2 linked regions of the Arabidopsis thaliana genome follow. The protein of the gene in region 1 interacts with the protein of each later gene in a pairwise test. Each region holds a gene or a part of one and is shown on either strand. Other genes may lie near its edges.

The links. Proteins that work in one complex are often made in the same cells at the same time.
Region 2: the proteins of AT5G01800 (region 1) and EMS1 interact in a protein complementation assay, tested with the Arabidopsis thaliana proteins (one large-scale study listed by BioGRID).

The regions. Positions count from the first base shown.
Region 1 is NC_003076.8:304,411-309,983, reverse strand, and holds AT5G01800 (saposin B domain-containing protein), read right to left. Parts: upstream 3,046-5,573; 5' UTR 2,870-3,045; intron 2,578-2,869; 5' UTR 2,563-2,577; coding exon 2,475-2,562; intron 2,253-2,474; coding exon 2,104-2,252; intron 2,009-2,103; coding exon 1,808-2,008; intron 1,669-1,807; coding exon 1,609-1,668; intron 1,494-1,608; coding exon 1,338-1,493; 3' UTR 695-1,337; downstream 1-694. Other genes in the region: AT5G01790 (uncharacterized protein), read left to right, coding at 4,301-4,927.
Region 2 is NC_003076.8:2,282,935-2,289,899, reverse strand, and holds EMS1 (Leucine-rich repeat transmembrane protein kinase), read right to left. Parts: upstream 5,071-6,965; 5' UTR 4,813-5,070; coding exon 1,234-4,812; 3' UTR 1,045-1,233; downstream 1-1,044. Other genes in the region: XBAT33 (uncharacterized protein), read right to left, coding at 6,516-6,965. UniProt on the Arabidopsis thaliana protein: Receptor with a serine/threonine-protein kinase activity required for the specification of the correct number of male archesporial initials and for the subsequent specification of tapetal and middle cell layer identities.

The DNA.
Region 1 (5,573 bases):
TCAAAGCGATTGAGAGCTATAAACATGGGACGAAATCTAAGTAGATCGAACTAGGAACGAAACAAACAGATCGAATCGGAACAGAGACATAAGATATGTCTTATATCTATCCATCACAGAAATCTAGATTCCTCAATAGCATCGACAAAATCCGCTGCGAACCAGAATCGAACAATTACCTCAGTTATTATTATGCGCGAAAGAGCTACGAAAAGCGAAGACAAGTATATGCCAAATAGCTTCAGCTGCGAGGAATTGAGAGAAAATGAGAAGAAAGAGAAGAAGAGTTTCCCTTCCTTTATATTATAATCGGCCAACAAACACACAAGTTGATGATATCTATGAATTGCGAAAATGCCATTCTCGGAATTTTTACTAATTTTAATGGAAACAAAGAGCAGCCAACCTGTTTACCTTTTGGCCGTTACTAACCATTTTTTGTCATCATCTCTCTTTTCGCTGTTTGCAATTTGCTTTTTAATTATTTCTTTCTTCTAATAATCAACTTTGTTGTTGTTCTTAGCCCTTAAAATAAGTTATCACTTCTCATCATCTTTCATCGTCATTACACACACTAACCAAACTTAGTTCTTTTTTTTTTACATCTTTTCTTTAGTTTTCAAGCTAAATAAATATACGATAAGCATTAAGGTTTGTTTTAACGAAATTTTCATTTACAAAATTAATTTTATTTCCCAATAAAAGGATTTGTTTCACTACATTGGATATGTACACTGTTCTGTTTGTATTATAAAAGGTTAAAAATCAGTCGCTTTTAGTCAATCAATCACATAATTCTGAATATACATACAGTCAACAGATTTATAAATAGTATACAATTTGTTTTCCAGAGTAGTGTTGATCAAAGATTCCTTTAGATGATATGTACCAGTGACGATGTCACACGTAAGCAAGAATATCCTCTAATGTTAGCTTTTATAGATACGGTGACACTTGCTCTCTTTGTCCTTTACACGTGTCTGACATTTATTCGCTTGTGGGTCAGTTTAAACCAGCTTGGCGGCCCCTAACTTTTGCCAACTGTTTCACAGAAGAAAATGGTGGGCGAGTGATTGAGTACACGCATCAACGTAACGTTTTAGCGAAAATCAGACTACACAACATGGGCAATGTAGAAATTAGCAAAAAGGCCCATCGATGGACAATGGGCCTTTAGACAGCGTTCTTTTCAAATCACACAAGAATCATCAATCGTGTAGTTATGTTTTTAATATATCAATCAGTATTTACATGACCACCGGGTTACCAAATTAAATTAGCATCACGATCATGGCATGGTATTAGTGTGAATGACGACAAAACCAAGGTGGCCGAATTTACGAATCTGCCAATGACTCCACCGCAGGAACGTAGTCACGGTGGGTGGCTGGACCTGGACAGACGTGGAGGATAGTGCACACGTCTTTCTTCTCCAGAAACTTCTGCAAATCCGTAAGCATCAGAGGCCCGTACTCGAATACCATCTTCTTGCACTATTCACCATCATAAACAAACACATTGTTATTATCTGATGATGATCCATAAAAGTATCACAAAACTCAGCTTAAATAGAGAGAGCTTTGCGGGCATTCTTTATTAGTTAGCTACCTTGTCCTGGTAATTGTTAAGCGACTTGCATTCCTTGAGAAGTAACCGAATTATCTTCAGCTGCAACATTCACAAGGCAAAAGTCAATCTTCAGCAGCAATAATAAATATCTCTAACTGATATAATTCTTAGTGCTAAGCCTAAGGTTTGCGACACAGAATAGGTATGTGATAATAGAAGGAATGAAGGTTGAGCAAACCTTAGTCTCAGGATCCTTGAGTTTGGTGACAACCTCAGAGACAGTCTCGCGGCAAGCCTCGCAGTTTCCTTGATGGACTTGAGAGGCAAAGGCCGGTGTCACAGCTTGACAGAGGTTAAGCCGTTTGCAGATTTGGTCTGATTTGATAGTAGAGACTTGTGTGAAGAAAAGTTGGGTGTAATGATCTACCATTGAAAGACACTGCAACAAACACATGAGTTGGGCATAGTTAACATATAACCACGTCTGAGAAAAGGAATAGAGAAAGCAAAAACAACCAAGGACTCAATGAAGACCTGTTTTTTGAGAGGAGGAATCTGAGAGCAGCTGATATGAAGGGCCTCAACGAGTTCATTCTGGTTGTCGTAGTCTTGAAGGTAATCAATGACTAGCGTGACATACTTGTCACATAGTTCACAGACTTGGTTGTCATCATGAGCTGATTCTGCAAACGAAACAATCATACATAGGAGATCAACACAAATATTATATGGAGCAAACTTCTTAAACCCAATTAAAAAAAAAAACATACATCAGGATGTCTATATCAGATTGAATGCTTTCTGAAAACGTAACGTATTCAAATAATCCAGTGAACAGATTTTAACAAATTTGAATTAGAAACAGGTGCAAGAGAGACTCTAGATGCCTTCAAAAATGTTCTTACCGAATGGTTCGAGAAGAATCGGGTTTGTAGCATGACAAGACCAGCTCAAGAGGAAGAGGACTAGGAGGACTCCAAATCTACCGCCCATGTTTCCTCGTGAGATCTATATATTACCAAATTTAATGATGATGGATCAAAAACCGATTTGGAGATGGCCATATTCATAAGTCAACAGACACTTTTTGGGGGATTCCGATTTTGAGTTGTCAACAATTTTAGGTTGAAACGCTAAATTAAACAGATCTAAATCAAACCATAAGCGCTAAATAGGTCTGCATATACGACGAGACTGGGGACAAATTAATATGTGCTAAAAGCTCTTATTCCATAGAATCGATACATAAACAACAATCAAATAAGTGTACGAAAAGATGAAGAAGAAGAAGCTAGCTTACACGGCCTCCGATGAAGAAGCTTGGGTATCAATTAGATCTGATTAATGAAAGAGAGCAACCGATCGACGATCGACGATCTTCGATGCTGCTGGGGTTGCTGCTCTCTCTCTCTTTTTCTTTTTTTTTGTGAAAAAGCAAGAGTCTCCTCTCATTTAGATCCATGGTAACAGAATTATATGATTGGCCCTTTTTTTTGTCAAACATATGATTGGTCCTTTCTTTATTATTATTATTATTTTCAATCTAATTAAAGGGCTGTAGTATCAAAATTACTTTTAAAATCTATATTCACATTACCTATTTTGTTTTCCAAACAAATAAACTAACTAGTATTTTATTTCATCTGCTATAAGAATATGATACTCCAAGTTTATACACCTCTGGACAAAATTGTTTGTTCCATTTTCTTCTCCTTATTTTGATACTGTCAATACCTTAATGGAGATGTTTAAACCGTAATTAATCGCATTTGTATGATATTCGCCAAATTATCTTTCACAACCCAACAAATGAGAAATTTGGTTGTTGGTTTTAAACCTTATAAATAGGTCACGGTTCTCAATACTTTAAAGACCTTCAATTTTTTAAAAAAAAAATCTCTCATTTTTCTTTAATGGACGGAAGAAAATGTAATTATGTCTTCTTGTTTAACCTTTAACGAAGAGATGTAAATTCTGATGAGGGGAGCGAGTATATGAATATCACATGAAAGATATTAATGCAAAAGAATGGACCGACCATGGGGTCTATCAGTGTGTATATACTAAGGAAAGCAATGCTCGGAGGTATGTGGAGCACATGTAGGAATGCATGGGTCGTGGCTCGTTTAGTCATACACTGTTTTCCAATTTAATCAGATAAAAACCAATTATTCAATTCATATTGTTTTCATCAATGGTCCTATCTACTCTCCAAATAAATGCTTCTACAATAACCACACCTTTCTTAATAAAATCTACTCATCAATGACATGTTTGTGTTGAAGTTATGTATATGTTGGCTTGTAATGTAAATATTCTCATGGATGAATCGTTAATTGCTATATACATGTGATACAAATATCTTGCCTTGAGTATGACGTATTTAGATCTCCTCATTATTCATATGTGAGTGTTTTCTTTTGTACCCGGTAGCATTACTTAGTGTTCAAGGGTCTAATAAGTTGTGATGACTTTATATATCCATCGAGTGGTTATTGCCTTTGTAGGATTGGACCAACACACTTCGAGATGTATCTTTATAAGTTCTAACTATGAGAGCTAATTAACCGCACTATTGAAACTATTATTTCACTATCATTAATTATTACATTTTGCTTTTAATATATAGTTTCTATAGACACCAAAGCCAAACAAATAAGCCCAAAAGTAAAAACCGTACCAAAGACACCAGGCACCCATATATACATGATAGATTGACTCCATATGTCTCATGCACACATCTCTCCCTCTCTTTCCTTCCCTCTCTCTCTCTCACTCTCCCAAGACAATAATGCCAAACGCGGGATCTGAGCGGGCAGCTTCACTCTCACTGAAAAAGCAAGACACCGCCACCTTCTCCGGTAAGCTACCGTCGACCAAACAACGTTTTTCGTCGGTATCAGCTGCTTGTCCTTCCTTTAGAATCTACTACTACGACGGAGCCGCCGGTGCCGTCCCTTTCGAATGGGAATCTCATCCAGGCACACCCAAACACCCCTCCTCTGAGCTACCTACTCTGCCACCTCTCACTCCTCCGCCGTCTCATTTCTCTTTCTCCGGCGACCAAATCCGCCGCCGTTCCAAAAAGTCCACCAAGAAAATCCTCGCACTAATCCCGACAAGGCTCTTCTGGCTATCGGGCGATCACAATGGTAAGGCTAAGAAACTGTCGGCTTCATCACCACCATCTCTGTCGGAGAGAGTGTTGATCGACGAAAATGAGTACGATCTGTTCAAGTTTCAAACAGAAAGGAATGTCATGCGAAGATTTTCATCCTTCGACTCTTCTGCTGACTACCCAATTCAGAGATCACAATCCACTTCCTGCTTCGGAATCCGCAGATGTTTCCTCTGCTAATTCCGCTGCAAAATTTGGAAAATAAAACGTTGAAATTTTATAAAATGTTTTTCATATATTAGTTTATTTTGTGTTCCATCGTCTTATTATTATAATATTTAATCAGTTTGTGTCGGTAATGCAACTCCGAATCATATAATACGTTTACCTTTTTGTTAAATAAGAGCAATGAACAGTTACAAGAGTTACGTAAATTGATCAGAAGATTATTATAGTAACTGTCGCATTCACTTTGGTTTAAAGTGCATGACTAAAACTTTGATAATTTAAGTATAGCTTTTGGCAAGTGTGTCTTTTTGTATATGGATGGTTCCGTGTAAAAATGTAACTGTGAGTTTGAACAAGCCTTCTTTGGTGTTAATTTAGCTGTCTTCCAAGCAAAGGAAATTAATGAATGGGGTTTGGTGGTTGGTTTCTTCTTAATTGATTTTTTGTCGAATATGATTGGTTTTCTACAACCTCCTCACACTCGAAATAGCAGAATCATTTGGTCCATTTTTAAAAGATAAAATCTACACATCTTTCTTTCTTCTATATTACCTGGTAGGTTTTAGAGTCAAGATTTTAATTTACCTTTTTCCTGTTAGATGTAACAATACGTTTGAATACTGACATAAACTAAGATTTGACACTAAAGTATGTTGAG
Region 2 (6,965 bases), 2.0 Mb from region 1:
TAAAATTTTTGTTTTCTAAATATTTAGGTAAACCCGAACCAAATCGAACTCGATATCAAAATCTTAAAATATCCAAATTAAGCCGAAAAACCTGAATATGAATAGCTCGATCCGAATACACGAAAGCCAAGACCTAGTTTGGTATTTGAAAACTGTAACGATAAAATTTGTTAATTTAATAAATTTCATTTTTTTTGGTGAGTGATAGGGAACAATGTCCCCTATTTTTTATTCAAACTAAAAGAAATTACAAACGAACATGACGCGGAAACGACATTCCGTTCCGGTCTTCCAACATAACCGAATAAACAGCATCCGGACAAACATAAAAAAACTGAAAACCAAGAGGTAAAGAAAATGCATAGTTCGCTAACTCATCCGCTAGACTATTAGTTTCCCTATACTTGTGAGAAATCCGGACTATCTAGTCCTTTGATATAAAGCCATAGCACATGCGTATTAGGAAGGACAGCGGGTGAGATTCACTTATCCCTGTCCGAAGAAACCCAACAACAACCTCCGAGTCCACCTCTAACTCTAATCGGGATACTTTACACTCCCAGGCCATGAATAACCCGTAGTATACACCCCATAACTCAGCAAGAGGTGTTGAGCATATCCCGATATTAATTGCAAACCCTCTGCGCCATTCCCCATTGCTCTCCTGTAAGACCCCTCCTGCCGCCGCTAATCCGGGATTGCCTCTTGACGCTCCGTCTGTATTCAGCGTGCACCAACCTTCACTTGGTCTACTCCATGAGATTAGTCTATCTTCTCTGCCCACTAATCTCCGAGACACTCCTACCACCGCATGTGCTTTAATAACTTCCCGAGCTAGGTCCATATAAAAAATGTTTGGTTTTCTTAGGTATCCATATATTATTTTTATGATTTTCTCGAATTGAACTCAGAAAAAATGAAAAAAAATTGAAACCAAATTTATTTAGCAGTACCGATGAAAACATTGCATATTTGGTTTTAAAGTTTTATCTTTGGGTTATAAACTTTTTTCTTTGGTTTGGTATAACATCAGTTTATTTCACACCTGATCATAAATTAAGTGCAATTAATTGGAAATTGGAATACCTATTTTTCTTTGTTCGACATTTAGAAGAAACTGAAGAACACTTACATTAACATTACAAATACAAACCCTACCACTCCCTTGTTTGGTTAGTACTAGCAGTTTACTTAAACAACAAGAAACAACTACAACATTTAAGGTTATATGGCTCATATCTCCTTAAGAGCCTTCAACACATCAAGCATGTTAGGGCGCTTAGCTGGCGTTTCAGCAAGACAAAGCATAGCTATCTGAAGCAGACGAAGCTGAGAGTTCTTCAAAGCCACAGATACGAGCAGTGGATCAATAACATCCACAGCTTTCCCTTGGTTGATCTTCTGAATCGCCCAACCAACCAAGTTCCCTCCTTCACTCTCCTTAAAGTCTGGACCGGTTGGCTCTTTCCCTGTGACAAGCTCCAATAGTATCACGCCAAAGCTATAGACATCTCCTTTGGTTGTGGCTCGGGCACTCTGACCATACTCCGGTGGGATATACCCGAAAGTCCCTGCTATGACTGTACTAACATGGGATTCACAGGCACTAATTAGTCTTGCTAGCCCAAAATCCGCCACCTTTGGTTCAAAATCACCATCTAACAGAATGTTGCTCGCTTTGATGTCCCTGTGTATAATGTGAGGGATGAAACCGTGATGTAGGAAAGCTAGACCTCTTGCAGCTCCAACTGCGATTTTGAGGCGTTTTGACCAGTCCAGAACCTCTAGCATCCCAGTTTGGTTCCTTAACCAGTGATCTAAGCTTCCATTTACCATATACTCATATACCAGAAGCTTCTCTTCACTGAAAGAGCAATATCCAAGCAAAGACACAAGATTCGGATGCTTCACTTTCCCTAGAGTCTCCATCTCTGCCATGAATTCTCGGTTTCCCTGCGTTTTGGCTTCACTTAGCTTCTTCACCGCTACTGTTTTCTCACCTGGTAAACAAGCTTTGTAAACCGTCCCAAAACCACCGTCTCCTATAATGTTCTTCTTAGAGAAATGATCTGTAGCCTCGACAATATCTCCTAAACGCACCTTCAGAAGCGGCTGCTCGAACATTGCTATATTGATGCTTAAAGGCTCCCTTGATCTGCTTCCACTTAAGAAATACAGGTTCTGATCAACAAACCCTTTCAATCTGCTTTCCTCCATTCGCTCTGGATCATCTCTTTGCTTCACTCTCTTTGTCATAGCCCATCTGCGCAGAGAGAAAACAAACACAAAAACGATGATCGTAAAGCCAAGCATGAGTCCTGCAATCCCCCAAGCACTCCTCAACTTAGTTCCCTCGATCTTGCAATCTGATCCAACCACTCTGCCACACAACTCTTTGTTCCCTGAAAGCAATGCCTTGGAAGGATCCTGACAAACACCATCACTCGGCACCTCTCCTCGCAGATTGTTCTTGGCTAGATTCAAGAACTCCAGATTGGGCAATCCACAGATCTTTGTTGGTATCTCTCCAGATAACAAGTTCTCAGAAACATCAAGGTACTCCAGCTGCGTAAGATTACCAAGTTCTGAAGGTATTTCCCCGGTGAACTTATTCTGCTCAATGTAGAGGCCGACAAGTTTTTCCATTGTAGACAGTTCTGATGAAAGCTCGCCACTTAGGTTGTTAAAGCTCAAGTCCATGTGTGTAAGCTCTTTCAAGTTCCCAAGAGAAGCAGGAACCGGTCCATCAAGCTTGTTCTTAGTCAAGTTTAGCTTCACCAAGCTACCTAACAAGCCAAAGCTTTCTGGAATATGGCCATTGAGCTGATTATTCGCCAAGTTTAATCCCTGCAACTTAAGAGAGTTGCCCATCTCCTTTGGAATAGATCCAGTCAGTGCATTTCCAGATAGATCCAGGATTGTGAGGTTGGTCAAACGAGAGAGTGAAGCTGGAATCTCTCCAGAGAGATGGTTGTTGCTCAGTGAAATCTCTACCAATACCAAACACTCGCCAAGTTCTTCTGGTATAGGGCCAGACAATCTATTGTAGGAGAGATCAAATATCCCATGGTGCTGAAGAAAGCTGAGATCAGGCATCTCAATCTGATGGAAATAAGCAGAGGGTTTTGATGGAATTGACCCGGAGAGATTGTTGTAAGAGAGAACCAGGCACTGAAGCTGAGCGAGAGCAGTGATTTTGTCTGGAATCTGTCCTTGAAGATTGTTGCTGCCTAGATCCAATGTAGTCAAAGAAGTACAATCACCGAGCTCAACTGGTATCTTCCCTTGAAACATGTTTGCATTCAGATTCAAGACAGACAAAGATGTGAGTTTTCCAATCTCTCTTGGGATTTCACCTGTTAACTGATTATCACTGAGAACCAACCGCTTCAGTGAAGCTGCATTACCAATCTCTGCAGGCAAATAACCTTCTAGACGATTATAAGAAGCTGTAAACTCCATCAAGTTCGTTGATTTCCAGAGACTCTTTGGGATTTCTCCTGTGAAGTTGTTGGAATCCAAGTCAAGTGCCATCAATGGAAGCTTCCAAAGATCCTCAGGAATAGAGCCATTGATCTGATTATTAGTAAGTAACAACTCTCCAAGAGAGGAACATCCATCAAAGACCTCCTCAATTGTTCCAGAAAGCAAATTCCCAGAGAGATCAATCGCCTCCAACGAACCTGAACCACAGAGCTCCCTAGGAATCGAACCACTTAACAAGTTGCTAGCTAGACTGAGATGTTTCAACATTGGACAATCCTCAATCTCATGAGGGATTTCACCTGAAAACCGATTGTTAGCTAACAGAAGTGAGTCCAGTACCTTCCATTTCCCCATCCATGAAGGCAATGAACCCGAAAGCTGATTCCTTTCAGCAGAAAACGTCAACAGAGGAATCTCTGAAAGCTCCAATGGCAAAGGTCCAGAGAGAGAATTGAAAGACAGCATCAGTGACTTGAGGCTTTTACAATTACCAAGCTCTGGTGGGATCAATCCAATAAGCTCTGCGGAGACAAGATTTAGTATACTCAGATTATGCAACTCTCCAAACGATTTGGGAATGGAACACTTGAGTGGATTATAAGAAAGGTCGAGCTTTGCTAAGTGTTTCAGTTTCGAAATCTCCTTTGGTAACGGTCCATTGAAGAAGCAAGAAGGTGCAGCAAAGTTCTTCAGCAACGAGATGTTACCAATCTCCGACGGAATTTGACCGGAAAATGAGTTGAGTCCCATGTAAAGATTGGAGAGGTTACTCAGTTTCCCGATTTCAGGAGGGATTTCGCCGGAGAGAGAGTTGTTGGAGACGTCAAGAGAAGACAGTGCAGGTAAGCTGATGAAGAACGATGGAGGAAGTGAACCGGAGAAGTGGTTGTCACTAAGGTCGAGGTAGAGAAGCTGAGGTAACTCACTGAGTAGCCTCGGGAGAAGTCCGGTGAGAGAATTTCCTGAGAGGTCAAGGGTTTGGAGATGTTTTAGATTCCAAATCTCAGGCGGAATCTTCCCGGAGAATTGATTTCCGGCAAGACAAAGCTCTCTAAGGTTCTTCAAACTCGAAATTTCCTTCGGAATCTGGCCTCTCAGAGACAAAGACGGTAAGGAGAGCGAGTTGACTCGTCCAAGCAGACACGTAACGCCAACCCAATCGCAGTGAGACGCGGAAGACGAAACGTTCCATGAAGAAAGGAGAGATGGGTTTTCTAGTGAGCGCTTGAAGGAGATGAGAGAAGTTGTTTCCGAGCTAAGATCAACAATGGCGGAACTCGAAAAAGAGAAGAAGAGAAACAGGAACAATGCGGTAAGAAACGCCATGTTCTTTTAGAGAAGGAGGAAGAAAACTCGGAGATTTAAAAGAGACGATTTTACAGAGAAAGTTTCAATTTTTACAAGAGCAGAGAAGAGAAATCACGCCATTAAAGAGAAAAAGGAAGGGTTTTTTTTTTAGGCGCGATAAAGATGAAGATGAAGATGAAGAAGAAGAAGAAGAGAGAGAGAAAGAGAAGCACGAAACTCACGTGACGTAATAAGACTTCGTAACGGCAATTTAATATTTCTTATTTTCAAGCTTTGTTTTGTTTGCGTGAATTTTTAAATATACATTTGTGATGATGAATAGTTATATATGGATGAAGGCATGGGTCAGAGTCTTGAGAGAGTACGGCTCGAATCTGCAGGAATCCCAACCACTGTGTACCAGATTAAAGCTGACGGGGTTTGTTTTCTAAATATTCGAAAGTTGTATGGTCAAATTGTAATTTTGAGTTTTTGTTTTGGCTTCTTTATTAAAAAGCTGGTCAAATTAATTGTGTATTTTCATTCATTTAATGTGATATCCGAAGATGCTTCAATCAAAACCAATTATAGATAGATTACAGCTAATCATTTTAGGGGGTGGTTTTATGTTTGGGAATTCTTGCATTTACTTTATAGCAGTAGATTTTGATTTATCTAATCTAACTACATATGTTCAGGCTTTTTTCATTGCGAACAAAAACAGAACAAAATTGTATAGTCATTATTCTTAATTTTTATAGTATACAAGTTAATTTTGCTTTCTTGTTTCGAAGATAATTAAGAAAGGGGGTTAAAATTAAGAAAACAGAGAATGTGGTGGTCCATTGTAAATTAAAAAAATGAGGAGAAAAAAGAGCAGAGTTCCCCCACATGTCTTCTTTCCCCTTTGGGAATGTTTAAGCTTTTTCCCTTTGGGATCTGTTTCCATTTTTCTAATCACATAAAGACTTTACCCCCATTAGATTATTAAACCTAATTAAGTGAATATAGTTGATTATAAGGTTAGTGGACCACTCTTTCTCATAAATTCATTATAGGTTGAACTATATAGAATTATTGATCCATGACATAATAATAAGTTAATAAAAAAAATGGTAATGTAATTGAAATTTAAAGTCATATAGACTAGCTCTGCAAATGAAGATTTCGAAGTAGCAAAGCCAAAAATGGGAATGCTTTTTGAAATTGGCGCATCACTGAAACCAAACCAGTTCGAGTCCAACTAATTGAGTGATAGCTTCATTTGTTTGTTTGTTTTTCGTTTTTTCTTTCTTTTGGATCCAAGAACTAATAAGAGTAAAAGTAGTATTAAGTTATTTGCAGAGGAAGAAAATGACTTGGACTTTGTGTGGTCAGATTTTTCTCATCAAGAGCTATAGAGAATCATTCATTATTACCTTTAGTTTTGTTTGACTTCTTCTAGTTCTTGGGTTGAAAATTATAAGAAAGTCTCAATATTTTCATCTATGTACTATAACAAATGGGTCCAACTAATAAAAATAGAAAGATTTTGCAAAATGACCCCATCATTATGTTGACAATTACAAATCATCATCCATAATTAATAACTTGAGCCTCTCCAAAGTCAAAAACAAACGTTACAAACCTAACAAGAAGACTCTCTGTGTTGTGGCTCATCCCCATTTTAAAAGTAAGAAATGATGGGAGACATATAGATTCTCCTCTTTCTTTCTCTGTACATACAAATAATATGTTTATGATCAAGCATTGATCTCGGAGTTGCATTGGTTCTCTCTGCTACAGCTTCTTCTTCCCCAGAACATACTTGAACAAGTTGTTGTTTTCCCAAGTCTTTGCCCTTCTTCTATCTTCTCCTGTTCAGTTGTTGTTCGAGAAGGAGAAGATTCGACGTGTTCTTCGCTATGTCTCTCTGTTCCATGTGTCTCAAAGTTTGGACATGTCCCTTCGTTGCAGGTGCACATTGGAATGTTTACTGAAGGGAATGGGCTGCATGTTACCGGACAGAATATATCAGATGAAACCGAGGCTGCACGGGTCTTGCTGCTGCGTTGTTCTGTTGGTGGGCATGTCGGTGATGATTGATCTGTTGTGTCTCCCGTGTGAAGCATACATGGTGCACAGAACCCGAGTGACATGGGTAACTTCATTTCTCTTGTCAGGGAGCTTGGGAGTCGTTTAAACGCTGTAAT